Linked DNA regions of Coturnix japonica. The protein of the gene in region 2 interacts with the protein of the main gene of each other region in a biochemical or structural test. Links are inferred from orthologs where the notes say so. Each region holds a gene or a part of one and is shown on either strand. Other genes may lie near its edges. The genes, in order: PRKCQ and CARD11.

What was found.
Region 1: of the proteins of CARD11 (region 2) and PRKCQ, one has a biochemical effect on the other in vitro, tested with the Homo sapiens proteins (2 studies listed by BioGRID). The link is inferred for Coturnix japonica from reciprocal best matches to the Homo sapiens genes CARD11 and PRKCQ.

Annotation. Positions count from the first base shown.
Region 1 is NC_029516.1:3,259,170-3,266,345, forward strand, and holds part of PRKCQ (protein kinase C theta type), read right to left. Parts: coding exon 7,111-7,176; intron 5,875-7,110; coding exon 5,696-5,874; intron 3,963-5,695; coding exon 3,789-3,962; intron 1,319-3,788; coding exon 1,227-1,318; intron 1-1,226. UniProt on the Homo sapiens protein: Calcium-independent, phospholipid- and diacylglycerol (DAG)-dependent serine/threonine-protein kinase that mediates non-redundant functions in T-cell receptor (TCR) signaling, including T-cells activation, proliferation, differentiation and survival, by mediating activation of multiple transcription factors such as NF-kappa-B, JUN, NFATC1 and NFATC2.
Region 2 is NC_029529.1:3,536,695-3,544,377, reverse strand, and holds the start of CARD11 (caspase recruitment domain-containing protein 11), read left to right. Parts: upstream 1-3,722; 5' UTR 3,723-4,292; coding exon 4,293-4,421; intron 4,422-6,131; coding exon 6,132-6,255; intron 6,256-7,683. UniProt on the Homo sapiens protein: Adapter protein that plays a key role in adaptive immune response by transducing the activation of NF-kappa-B downstream of T-cell receptor (TCR) and B-cell receptor (BCR) engagement.

The DNA.
Region 1 (7,176 bases), on a different chromosome or scaffold from region 2:
AGGACATCTCGGTTTGGGAACAACACAGAGATTCCTCAGCTTGTCAAGCAGATCTCTTTATTGCCTGGATTAATGACTTGTTTCCAAAGTTTTACCCAAGATGTGAAATAGGTAGCAGCCTGGTGGTCTTTCTGTGGAGACTTTCTGAGTTTTAGATCTTTGTTCTGAACAAGTTTCTGCCTAAACTGCAGAATGAAGGCGCTCTGCCCAGAAAGGAGGAATGTAACCACCAGTTCACGTTCCCTCCATGTTGTTGTAAGGTTTTGCTCTGTCATTTTCATTGCACTGACCTCAGGGCTTAGTTATGAACATTCAAATAGTTTTGTAAAAAATAAGGAAACCAGTAAAGTGAACACAGATTTAAATAAAGTTTTTCAGTATATTTTTTTTCTAATTAATAAATAAAATTTAATTCCTCAATGTTGACTTTTGAAATGTTATTTACTTCACAGAAGGATCTGAACACATTTCATTTAGTCTAATTCTCCTACTTATTTTCAGATGTTTCAGATTTTAGGCATTCTCAGTGCTATTTGCAGACACTTTTAGAGGTAAGATCTCAGGCAAAGAGCTCCTCTCTGTTAAGTGGACTAATTCAGGAAATAAAGCAGCCTGTGGCACAGCTTCTATCCAACTCCTGGCTCTGGGACTGAGGGACTATTCGATGTTTGAGGGACTATTTAAATGTCTGAAGGACTATTCTTGAGGTTAACACAAGTATGACAGCTGGGTCGCAGGATGTGAGGAAGCCTCTCATCTGTAAACTGAAGGACAAGACTGCAGGCTGATGCAGTGCTGACGAGGGTGTAGCACCATCTGTAATGCTTTCAGACAGAAATAGCTTCCCTAGTTGACCAAGAATGCAAAGCAAGTTCACATCTGACTGAAATGAATTGCGTGGATGTGCTCTAAAAAGCTTTTTGTGGGAGGGAAAGACGACTGGGAGAGGAAGTGACTAGGTCCAAGTCTGTCACTGAGATGGGGTGATGACCTGCGTATCTGTTGTGTTCGTTTTGGAGAGAGTGGGAACTGAGAGTGGTTCTGCTTTCATGCTAAAAAGCCAGCTGAGAGCACTTTGCAGAATAAGTAAGTCATAGAGAAGTCAAGGGCTGGGTCCAAGGTTACCATCAAAGGACAGTGGTAGAGCTAGAAAGCTAAGAGCCCTAGTGCTCTCATCTTCCTCTTTTGTTTCTAGCGTGTGCCAAAAGGTAATCATAACATCTTACGTTGCTCTGGGAAGGTCAAATTTATGACAGCTCTGGATATGGAACATGAGGTCTCCTCCATTGAGATATTCCATCACAAAAAAGAGATTTTCCTAGAGAATGAGATAAGACAAATATTAGGGGTGAGAAAGAGGAAATTAAAAAAATAAGAAGGAAAATATTAGTGTCAGGGTTTTTGGAAGAAAGCAGATTATCTTCCAAGTTCCTAATTTCTGCTCCTTCTTCTCTAAGCATGTACTCTGCCTCATTACTTTAATTTCTATAAACAGCATTAACAAACATTGTGAAGCCACATTATAATCAACTGGTGCCGTTGTTTTTTACCAATAAAGCTCAAGGATTACTAGAAGGGGATAAGCACCTTTTCAGCGCCTGTATTATGGAAGGACAGATAAACAAGATTCCTGGGGGACTGATGGAAGAGGAAGAAGCAAATCCCAGGTCTCCTATGTCCTCCTAAGTACACCTATAGAGCAGGAAGATCTCTGTTTCCTGGAAAGAGTGTATCTGTACAATGAGTTATGCTCCCAGTTTAAACTTCTGTTTCAGTATTGTCAGCTTCTGTGTATAAATGCATGAACAAAATAAAACGGATGTGGTGTTTTCTCTGTTCATTAAACATTTGAAGTCAGTTATCTCCAAGCTACGCAGAAGTTTATGAATATCCTTCTTATGTTGTCTAGTGTCCATCATCCAGTGTCCAGGTAGTTCTTCTGACTTATACTTTTAACACTTGAATGAAGATTTTTATTTATAAAATCCAACGTAAGTATCTCTGGAAGAAAACCAAGAGATATTAAAATATCTCTTGGTTTGGATATTAAAAAGGAAACAACAAGGTGATGATGAGGACCAACAGCCATGTGTATCATACTGGTACAGGAGAAATCTTATGGGTTTTTGAATGGGCCAGATAGAACATTAGTGCTCTGGGAAGGGGAAGAACCCTGGGTTTAACTGGGAAGTTCACTGACTTCACCTTATCATTCATCTTTAAGCATATATTGAAGTGCACACTTACTCAGTACAACAAACAGCCGTGTTCTGCTTGCTCATGGATTTGAGTGGCCATCTAATGCAGGCATTTAGTTCAACTGGGGACTCTTATAGCATCCTTCTACCCAGTTGGAAAACAAAAAGTGAACAGCCTCTCAGATTAATTTGCTTCCAAAGACCATTATATAAACACGGCCACCAAGTTGCCTGCAGATATGGAGCTAAGACTACAAGCCTGACTTAGATTTAGCTACTACTTGAAATTCATGGCCTACTGAGTGCTATGGAATAGTACATAAATACTACTGAAAAGAAAGATGGCACCCCTCTGAGTTCTCTGCCCTGAAATAAGGGGTTTCACTTACTTCTTACTAAGGCTAGTTGTCTAGTATGGCCCATGGAGGAAAACTGCTGGAGATCAGCCCTATGTGTGTAATTATGATTAGCAAGAAGCAGTCTAGAAGCACAAGCAGCAATTATTGGAGACACTTCCCTATATCAAGAACTATGAAGCTACAGAACAGCATAAAAATGAGAAGTGGCAAAAAGCATGCTTGAAACCAGTGAAAATTCAACAGCTTGCCAGAGGGCAAAGGGTTAGAATGGCACAGAGGATGTCTGCAGACAGGATCCAACCCACGCTTCCTCTTGTCCTGGGACATTTATCTGTTGACTCCTCTGAAGAGTCTGCTGCCACAAAGCTCTGAAGCCTGCCAGTGTCTGCAGTAGACAAGAGTGTGATGAGTGGGTATTTCTCAAGAAGTGGCATCTGGGATGGCAAGAATTTACCATGCAGTTAACCCTGTGATGGCCTCAGGTCAGAACTGTTAAGCAAACAAATAGGAATGCTTTCTGTCATGTGGAGATCTAGGTAGATCTGAACAGCACCCCACTTTCACACTGTCTGGCTCCTTGGTAGACTGACCACAGGCAAATTGCTGATCGTGCTTGAGATTATCTCTGTGTTGTGGAACAATCAGACCAAACTTCTGGTCATTCTTCCAGAGTCATGTGATAGAACAAACCTGTTCTTACTGAAGAATGTGGGGCCATCATTTATAACCACAGAGTTCAAGGAAGAATGGCAGGGCATTCCTACATGCCACAACAGACACCGTCCCAAGGCAGCTGGCACCATCTTGAGGAGATCAATATGTCAGTCATTCCCTACAACTAGGTCATCAGTCATGAGTACTGTTTCCCAGGGGTGAGACCTGGGGCCTGTTCTGTTCTCTAACTTTACTGATGACCTGGATGAAGGTATTGAATGCACCCTCAGTGACACCAAACTGGCAGAAGTGTCAATCTGCCTGGGGGAATGAAGGTCCTACAGGGGGTTCTGGACAGTCTGTATAGCTGAACTGAGGCCAGTTAGATGAAGTTCAACAAGACCATGTGCTGGGTCCTGCACTTCGACAACTATAACCCCAGGCAGCGCGACAGGCTTCATTGCCATTTAGGGTCAGACAGATTTCAATATTCAATGCTATTTGAGTTTTGGTTTGGCATACGATCTCTGTAAAGTGCCCTCAGCCCATGGAGGAAGGTGACAAATCCTTGTCTTACCTTGGTTTGAAATGTACAGAAGACATGAGTCAGGAACGGGTGCTCCCAAGCTAAAGAGAGGACTCTCTTCTCCACCATTGTACATTCAACATCATCATCCATAAGAACCACATCCTTCTTCAGGGCTTTCACAGCGAAATACTGGTCAGTGTTCTTCAGCTCAGCAAGGAACACCTAGAATGGAAATGGCTGCTCAGAAAAGCCAATGCTCTTCTCTCTGAGCTGGCAACAACAGCCATGGAAGCTGAGCAAGATGAGCTGAAATGCAGCACTAAGCAGATAATTCTGCATGGGAAAATGGCTCTGAGGAATTCATAAGTGTAGACCTTAAAAGTTGCTATTTAAGTTCTGATTCTGTCATGAAGACTGTGTAGACTTTGAATCCGCTCCCCACATCCAGAATAATTCTATGAGGCTGAACTCTGAGGAAAGATGGGTAACTGGTAATTGCAAGAACACGAGCTACATGTTCATATGGACAGGACATGTATGAGAGCTGAGCACTTCTGACAACAGAAACCAACATCATGCAAATGCTCATGAGACACATTTCCTGTTTTCTGACTAAAGTAACAAATCACATAATATTGCTTTGTCAGCATGTGAAATGCAAATGCCTTGCACCGGTATGTATAAACTGATGTCCACCAGTAGTAGTTAGACTGTAGTTAGTAGTTAGACAGTAGTAGTTAGCACTACACAGAGCCTAGAGACACCTTCGGTCTCTGCAGTGAATGACCAGAAATGCTAACAGTGTTGATGCTGAAGGGACCCTTTTAACTTGTGGTTCTGTGCAAGGCATTGCTTTTCCAAGGAAATCAGAGAATACAATATAAGTGTGACTTATGCTGTGACCCTCAAGGCACAGGTAGGCAATGTTGGACTGATGCAGGGGGAGATTCCTCGTGGCTGTAGCCCTCAGAGTCTCTCCAGGTCCACCCAGAAGTGGAGAAGTCTTCCAAGCATGGAGATCTGCATATCTTGTTCTCTTTGTGGACAAGTGAATGTTACAACAAATAGATGACAGCACCTGGAGTGATACCTACACGGGAAACTTGTGGGAGAAGTTTGCTGCAGAAAGGCACAAATTAGCCCTTCCCCTCCATGCTCACATAATGCATGGCAGAGAAATGCAGATTCTTGGCTTCTCAACTTGACAAGCCCCATCTGGTGAGACCTGTTTTGTGCAGGAGTTGTATTAGATGATCTCTGGAAAACCCTTCCTTTGATTATGAATTCTTCTATGACATCTATATTGAGACCAAGTTAGTCTGGGTTGTGAAGTTTGGAGTTTCGTGGCTTAGTTTTAACTTACATATCTCAGCTCTGCTTCACATACGAAATGCAGACATGCCAAATGCTTTCATATATGCAAAAAGTCAACACAATAGATATTTCCCCAGTTTAAGATTTGGTTGCAGCAACTGCTCTAGCTCCCTTAGCAAAAAACAGGCTTTCTTCCAGGCAGTTTCCACCTTGGAAAAGACTGAGATCTAAGCAACGTGATACATAATTATACTCATTCTCCCTACTGGCTGTGAAAACACAAGGGAGAGGTGGTCTGAAATTACTTCATGCACTGAGATAACATGAGTCCACTTCCAGGAGGCATCTGCATGAAGGAGGAACAACTGACCATCCATCAAGATTAATGAATATACTGAAAACAGGTGGACCTTGTTTCAAAAGTACAAATTCTTGGCTTGTTGTGAAATCTGCTTTACGTTCCAGCACAGATCAGAGATGGGAAAAAAGCAGTTAGCACTTGCTAACTCTGGAGAAGGGTGGTGATTCATATTCACTTTCCCATCTAAAGATTCTGCCCCTGCCAAGATGGCTAAGCCAACCTGATGGGCATAGCTGCATGAAGAGGAACAGCAAAGAGATCTCAGCCTCCTAATACTTACCTTGCCAAAGCTGCCCTTTCCCAACATCTTGTGCAGGACAAAATCTTCAATGGTTAGTTTTAGTTGCACTTGGTCCTCCTGCTGCTCCAGGGGCTGTTTTCCTCCCAGGTCTGTTTCTATTAGAGACTCTCTCTTTGTCGTGCCCTCCACTGGAGTCTCCCAGGAGATGCCCTGTGGCTCTGCAACACAAATCAAAGCATTCAAATAAATACTGGGAAGTAAGGAGAAAATCCCCAGAATGCTTATGAGGTATTTTGAATAGTTCTAGAAAGGTCTTTTCAGATATATGAAAATGTGGACAGATCAAGTGAATAGATTGTCTCTGCTTGCATACAGCTTTCTCTCCAGAGGAAATTTTGCTCCACCATAGCTCCATTTTCTTCAGTGGCATTATTCCCGCTTTATGAAGTCCTTCATCTGTCCTGCTTCATGGTAGAAAACAAAACCAAATCTTTCATTTCTGGCAGCCTTTGTTCTTCATTCCTTCTTGCTGGTTGCTGTTTTGATAGGATCCCATTTCTTCTGAGACCTCTTCAAGACCCTTGGCAAAACTAGTGTGTGAAACAAATGGGACATCATCTTCGTATTGGCTCCATGCTCTGGTTATGGAGACTTAATGAAATATTCCAGCTGTCCTGGAGAGGAATTACTAACAGTTTCTTCAATACTTCATTCCCTTGGATGTTCATGAAATTCTTGTCCCTTACTGGATTTATCCCACTCACTCAAATGTATGTACTTGCTGTACTTGCTGTGCTGTCCTAAGCTGCTTAGCAAGAACACTAATCATCAGATAGACTCACATGTTAACCAGATGTAAATAATTCAGGCTTTACCAGTACAGACTGGTACATTCTGTTCTACTTGTAGCCCTCAGAAAATGAACACAGATGAAGGCACCATTGATTTTTCTCTAAGGGGGGAAATGGAATAGACAGCACCAAAATCTCAGGTTGGATATTAGGAAAAATCCCTTCTCTGAAGGAGTGGTCTAGTGCTGGAATGGGATGCCCAGGGAGGTGGCTGAGTCACTGTCTACAGATCTACTGTTGCATCCCTTACTTGGTTTAAGTATTAATTCAGTTGTACCTCTCTTTCTTTCCCTCCTCTTTCTGGTAGATGTATTTTAAAAGCTTGTGGGAGTCTGCAAAAAAAGTTAGTTTCAGAACAGTGCCCCACAAACCATGAGAACTTCTGAAATGAACTTCTGTATGGGACACATAGATTTAATGAAAGATGGTGACATTTCTGGTCTTAAAATCCAGAGTTCTCTGATTTGAGCACAAAGCAGACAAATAAGGAGTCTTTTCAGGACTTTAACTTTCCTTACAGGCCACTGAGCCCTCAGTAGCTTTGTTTGTCCATGGTCTGCTTTGGAATAAAGGCTGCCTTACTGTACCACTAGGGTAAATTACCTTTTTTTCCTGTTGTAGATGCTGGCACTGCCTGAAGAGGCGTCACCTCCCTCACTAGAACTGGGA
Region 2 (7,683 bases):
TTTGTCCATCTCTGTGCTCTTAACCTCCTACATGTGAAATATAACATAGGCACCCTTCTCTGAGTGAACACAGCAGTCTTTCATGTTTTGCATTATCGAATCAGATAATTAGTCAAATGCTTCATAAAACCAGCATTCAGTTTTGTTAAAGATCATTAGCTATTGATATAATTAATGTAAGAAGTTATTACAGTCGTGGCAGTTTGGGTCTGTAGACAAAAGTCTGACCTCAGTCTACATATGCCTGAATTTATTTCATTGCCGTTACTTATTTTGATGTGCGTTGCTTGCATTCTTTTACATCAGGTGAATCAGAAATAACTCTATGAATAACAAATGAATTACTGTTTATTAAAAAGATTATGGCCTGTAATTTGTGTGGGTATACGAGTATTGGAATGAAGGGAAATGAAAGCCTTACACGTAGATATAAAATATTTAATATTCTAACACCAAGTTGTCACATAGGAAGAAGACACTGCTTTCAGGATTCTGTTCCATTGTTTCAAAGAGAAGAATAAAAAATTCAAAACCAGGTATTCACTTATGGTTTAATAAATAGCAGCCATATAGTTTTATGGCTATGCTTAATCTCACAAATGTAAGATGTTCGGTGATATATGAGCTCTGTTTATACGCAGTTGAAGAGCTCTTCTACAATCCTGCTTAGCTTCCTTCCCTCGGGAGATACGCACTAAAAAGGTAAGTGAACATGAGACATTGGAAGAGCAAACACAGCCTAAGACGAAGGACTCATCTTCCTACAGGGGGCTCTTTGGAAGAGGGGATTGGTGGGTTTCCTTAGGAATGGCTTCAGCTCCCCATTTTGGGGAGTTTCAGTTTTATGGCAGCGATGGATCTTTGTTTAGACCCAATATAATCATTTGTGGTCTTGTAACATTCATATGGTGTTCCATGTTGTGGTTTTGGTGCATCTCATTTATACAACAGTTTCACATTCAAATCTTTTCCAAGGTCTGTTTACAGACAGGCACGCTTTGTCTGTGTGAAACTCAGATGTCTGTATAAGATCTGTAATGGAAATCAAGAAGTCCTTAACTTCCAGGTCTGTGCTGCAGTATTGGATTTTTGAACAGTGGAAAAAAAAAAACCTTATCTCTAATGATACAAATTAATATGTGATTATTATTTTAGTTACTACATCACTTACGCTATTAATTAATCCTAACATGTTTTTTACTTTGAGGAGTGTTGTCCCTCTGAGCACAGCGCTCGGCAGAAGTTTTCTCCTCCTGACCTTTTACAGAAGCTGTACAGAATGAGGAGGGAGAAAACGCAGAATGATGCAAAACCATTTAAACTTTGCAGTTGTTTCCAATTTGTCTCTATTAAAGACATGTATCGCTTTTTAATTAGAATAAATGTTGACCTATAAAGAAGACAGGAAACCTTCTAATTCTAAACAAACAAGCAAGAATAAGTAACTTGCCTCTCCTTACTTCTCCTAACGTTTGGGTTTGATAGATTAGCTTTCACATCCCAGCTATGCTAAGTCCTTCACAGTCTAATCCTCAGAATGCATATCGACAATGCTATTATGGCATGAGTTGGGAAAGATGACCTTGTGTTTTAAGCAAAAGATGAAATATGAAAGTGATTATTTAGAAACATTTTAAACCAAATTCATTGATCTAAAATCATCCTTTTTTTCCGCCCCCCCAGCCTTTTTTGTGGAGAATATGATCAAAAATGATCAGGGTTCTTTTGGTAGTAATGTTGATTATTTGCCCTCCTCTCCCTTTTTGTTTTAGCAGGAAATGCTTGTTTTTAAGTTTTTTGCCTTGAGTTTATAACAGTTGCCAGTTTCTACAAAGCAGCGCATCAGATGTTGTTTTTCAAAATTAAGCCATTGTGGTAAGAAAAAAATTGTACTTTTATCACTTTTAAGGGAGAACAGATATTCTTTTATCTCCCCAAAACTTAGTTACCTCGTCTGTTGAATATATCAATAACCCACTGGTTGCTGTGGAACTGAACTACTTGCCTGGAAGGTTTAAAGATCCATGGATTTTAAGTGCTATGGATATATAATTAAGAGCATAAGGAACAGCATAAGGACCAGAGCTATGGCTCATACCCAGTTGTGATGAATAATGTATGTGTAATGAAAAGGAAATGGTTGGAGGAGTCGCTAAATTAACTCTGCCTCTTCTGGCAGGAGTGGTACAGAGCCTGGGGCTGCTTCACTTTGGCCCAGAGATGAGGCAGAGTAGATCTGAGTTGTTTGCTCTGCCCCTCTGTAGAGGGCAAGACCCCATCTGCTGCACTGGGGGATGTCAGACCAACCCCTGCAATGGGTTTGAACTGAAATTTCTTCCTAAAAAGGAAGGTGAGGATGCTCACACCCAATGCAGACAGATAAATCATTGAAGTCGACAGACAGAACATTTTGTGCAAAAATACGTTAGCCCAACACTGTCAAGTGAATGAGAGAATTTTATACTATCCGTTTCTCACTGATATATGTTTGGCTGTCATCTTATTTCATAGCTCAGGCAATTGAAATACTGTTTAAATGTGTATCATAAAGCTATAGATGGGAGCATTTCCCAACTGGATTTAAACCATTGCCCCAAAGGTGCTACAGAAACCCTGCTGTGTGTCGCTTTTTAACATCAAGGGGCATTTCTGATGTTAATGTCTAGAAAAGGCAGATGAACACTAACAGCTGCTTATCCACAGGCTGGTGAATTGAATAGGGAAATACTCTGTTCTGGAAGTCAGATCTCTGGAGAAAACTGATAAATTATGAGCATCTCTAAGTAAGAGTGATGGTCTCTAAGGACAGTTGAGCAAGGCTGATAATATAAAATATGTAAAATGTGGAAAATATTTAATACTTCTGTTTCTTTGCTCTAAAGAGTTGGAGGGGTTGTTTTAACAATATATATGGCGTTCCTGAGCAGGGGAAATGCAATATATTCATTCTCAGATCACTAGTTTGTGAAATGCTGTTCTGCTGCCTGGGGAATTTCAGGATTATTACAGTGGTAAGGAGTCAAGGGCAGACTCCTCATAGGCTGGCTTGGCTCTCCTGGGACAAGAGGAGGAACAGCAGATTAAGGGCTGGGCAGTTTAGTAGTTTTTCCAAATGCTATTTTTTTTAATAATGTTTTTTAGTCCTCCAATTTGCAATAGCTCAAAGACAATCAGCACCTTCATTTCTGACTGATGGACTGCCCTCCTGAGTGCTGATGAACTAACTCTATATAAAGTTGTTCTGTAGGGTGTCAAAGTGTACAAGCGAAACCTTCAGCTGGACAAACACACTGCGTAAGATCCCTGGGGCACAGACAGAAAGAGGGGTGAGAAAATCTCTATGAGCAAAATACTTCCAACACAGCTCCCTACTGTTGCTGCTCCCTAAGGGACACATAGTTCTACGAGTCAGAGTGCTGCACGCTGCACTTGGATCAGGAAACCACTGATTTGCAGTTCTGCAGTCTCTCTGTAGTACACACCTGTATTTTAGATGGAGCATCTGGATTTCCTTGAATTTTCTCGTTGCCTGACTGAACCTGGTTATTTTCTATGCTTACGTTGTGTGAAACGTATCCACACAGTCTATCAGCTTCAAATAACTGTAATCTCAGCCATAATATTTCTGTAGCTTCAGAGACATTTTTTAAAACAGAAAACTGGGTTGGAGTCTGTAAATTCTTTTAGGAGAAGATTGATGCTGAGTTATGTGTAGCTTTATGATTGATAACTGAATTCTACTTGGCTACTCTCAGTTTACAAGTCTTTATGATTAAGAGAAATTTGTCCTTCATGTTTTGGTGACTGATTCCTTTAATCTGTTCATTGTTCACTGAGCAGCTGCTTCAGCTCTTCCTTCTGTTTAGGTGCAGAGAAACGTGGGACCTCTAAAACAGTCATTGGACCTTTTGAAAGCTGTTTGTAACCAACAACAGTAAGCAAAACAAAAGCAGAAACAGGAACAAATGGTATCCAACCTTTGCTTGGCTCTAGAGAGCAGTTTTACAGTCTACTGCCTGATAGCCAGTGTGCTAAAGGAATCAAAGACTGGAGAAACCTGTAACAAGACTTGTTGAGTATTAACTTGAATTCTGTCACATATTTACTTTCAGATTAGGAACTGTGCACGGAAGATTTGTGTTTTAAACCAAAGTGAAGCCACAAAGCCTGTTTGTCAGCTGCCTTCATTTCCCTGGTTGAACTGAAAATGGTTCCTCTGTTGCATGCACAAATCAGCTTCCTCTATGAAAGCAGTGGAAAGCTTGGATCAGAAATAACTTGTATTGCTTTTGATGAAACAAGAGCGGGCCATAATTCTTACAGCAGTATTTCAGTTTTTCTCCGGAGTATGTGCAGCTTTTCCCTCACTGTGCTGGTCATGTCTGAAACTGTGCAGCCTCATCCATGCAGTTGTCACACAGGTAAGTTTTGGTTGCCCAGGGCACCTTGTCACAGGCAGCTCACTGTTTATTCAGAGGTGAATTTTGATAAGGTTGTACAAGGATATAAGTAACACAAAACAGTATAGTTCTCACTGGGAAAAAAAAACAAACAGTAAGAGAATGGTGTTCTGCTGTTGCCCGGGGAGAGGAAGAACTTGCTGCTTTCCTTTGAGTTGTTGTTTTAGAGAACTGGAATGTCAGAGTCCCTTTCAATACCACCCTTATGGCTAAACTTAGGCCCTTCTCAGTCATGGTACAGGTACAACCCATGGAATCAGAGGGACAATAAGGGAGAACAAGAGCAGAGCTGCCCCATGTCTTTTGCTGCAAAGAACATACTCTGCTCTCCCAACTTTCACAGGATTCAGGTTTTCAGTTTGATAAGGACACTTCAGAGTGTTACTGTAATAGCACTTCCAGCCAGATACCATCTCCCTTTTTACTTCTTTTCACGTTATCACTTCCCTTCATTCTATTTTCTTTGAGGCTGCTGTATCCTTTGACCCAGCTATATCTTCTGATAGTTTTTTCCACTGCTCTTTCTTTCCATTTGTTATTTCCCTTTAGTCTAACAACTGCTTTTCCTTTTTCTGCCTCTCACCCTACTTTCCTCATGCCTTTTCCCCTTCCCACATTCCTTAATTATCAATCATCTTTCCCCTTATGCTCATTAATCCTAGTGTTTTTCCTTTTCTTTATCTGCTTCTTATAGGAGATAGAAACGTACATGTATGTATACAGCTGTTTTCTTCCAACCACATTCACCCTCACATATATACATCTCAGTGCTCTTTGGTGTGATTGTGTCCTCAGAGGGACCCAAACATTGGATTTACCCATGTGTGGCTTTCAGCCCATTGTCCAGCATTCAAGCTATACCAGATGTCTGTCAGCACACAGACTTCCTTAGGAAAATGCTGTTTTACAGCATCATTCAACTGTAACATATACTAATACTCGCATTACATTTTGTCGTCTCCCTTTTAGCTTAGCGACAACAGCTGTTAATAAGAAAAAAAAGATGTTTTCTAAAGGTTTTTGAAGAAAATGCACCACTCTTCCTGCCTGGAACTGCTTCAGTTGGAACTCTTCAGTCCTTTTTCTTTCTTATCTAGCCAGTGTGTGTAGTGAGAAGCAAGGGCTGTTGCTTTGTGGTTGGAGGTACAGCCCCAGGTTAGCTGGCAGCCAGCATCTCCCCTTCTGCCCTAGGGATATGCACTGGGGGAGCTCCTGCTGCAGGGAGCTCAAGGCAGGTGGTGCAGACAGCCTCGTTTCTTGCTCTGAGCCATCCGCTGGAGGCTGCTGCCTTCTGTGCCCACTGCTCTTCCTGGGGAAGGGGTAGCAGTGCCTCTTCATTTGCTTACCGTGCTTCTTTGGGGCTCTGCTGTCACCTGCGTGCAGAGTCATTTGCAAACAGGCAGTATCACTGGGGAGCAGAAATGTGTGTTTTTTTTAAACCCTAAGCAGATTGATACTCTGGTTTCCTGTCAGATCTTTGCATTTTCCTCCTCTGCCCCGCCCAGCCCCTGACACACTTTTTTCTCACTTTCTGTCGCTCTGTACTCATTCTGACACCAGTGCACTTGCTTCCTTTATTCCAGATTATCCCCAAAACTTTCGGCACCTTGGGGAAGGGGGGCAGGCGGCAGGAGGACTTTTGCTCCTTGTGTTTCTTTTACTTTCTAACAGCTGCAGAGCACAAAAAAACCACTCCGGGGCTCCTGGAAGAGCCAGACATGGGCATGGAGGCAACGTAGACACTTCATCCTGCAGCAGCTGCACCGAGACACCCACTCACTCATGAGCACCCAAGGTAAGGACAGCAGCTGCCTGGCGCAGCATTTAAGTCTAATTGCCACAAGTTCCACTTTCACCTTTATTTTCTGTGTTCATTTTTGTGTGTTTCTCTGAGGTCTGTAGCCACCCGTCCTGTCCTCAGCAGCACAAAATGTGCTCGGGGGGGGGGGGCCCTGCGGTACCCCAGGGTGATGGGTGTTGGTAAGGGAAGTGTGTGCTGAAATGGAAGTGCAGAGGGGGAGCTGAAAGGGCTGCTTGGCAGTGCTGGTTGCCAGGGAATTCCTGCTTCTGCTCTGTGCACTGAGCCCTGACCAAGTGTTTAAATCCTTTCATTACGGATTTATGCTTTCTATTAACTAATAAAATTATTTTTTCTCCCCTCTTTTAATTAGCTCTTCTCACTTCCTTTATTCTTTTATCAACTCTAATGTGCATCCTATCTTCTTCACCATCTTCTTATGCCTGTTTCTCATCAAGCATATCTTCTGTGTGACAAGTGTTCCACTTGTTCCTTTCTTGCCCATGCACAGAATGTATGTCCTCCCCCATGTTCTCAGTCTCTCTCCTTCCCCGCCATGATTTCCTTCTCTATCTCATGTTCCACTTTCCTGCCACCTCTTGCACTCACACCTTCCTGCTCCATCCTCTCCCTGCGCATGCAGCATGCATTGCTGCCCTGCAGAGTTGGTTTAGCATGTGGGGATGGTTCCTGTCTGCTGACCCGTTCTCATACACACACACACTGCTTTCATATCTGCCCCTTTGCTCATGAACATAATCAGAATTTGCAGATTTGGAAATGCATCCCAAAATGCCAGGCATGTCTGCTTGCATTGCCTCCCTCCAACTTCCAGACTTGTGCTGAGTGATTCACAACAAATAACCGCTGTCATCCTGTCTCTGTTTCCTTCTGTCTCACCAATAGAATTTTCTAACACCTACAGCTCACCGTAGCTTCCTTTCCGCTCACAAGTATGGCCCTCTCTGACTTTGTTTTTTCTATCTCTGCTTTTTATATCGTCCCACTCCTTCCGAAGCCTTTACCCCAACCCTCCACCAGGCTTCTCTATCTGTTTCTATGCTGCGTTCACACTGGGAGGAAATGCTAAAGCAGATGGTCTTACTCTGCTGCCTCAGCATCCCCCTGAGACCTCGTAGGGAAACCAGAGGAAGTACTGCAGTCTCAGCTCCTCTTTCCTTTGCAGAATAGGCAGGTGAGAGCAGAGTAACAGCTTTGTGAAACTCTTAGAATGTCTGGTCTGATGAGTGAGGTCATTCTTGTCCCACTGAATCCCATAGGATTTAATATCTTAAGGAGAGAGGCTCCCTGCTGCAGTATTGTAGCAGCAGTAACTTTATTCCTAGGATCTGGATTGAACTCATTTCTCAGATACCAAAATTTGCCAAGATCAGGTTAAAAACTGCATCCAGGGACGATATTTGC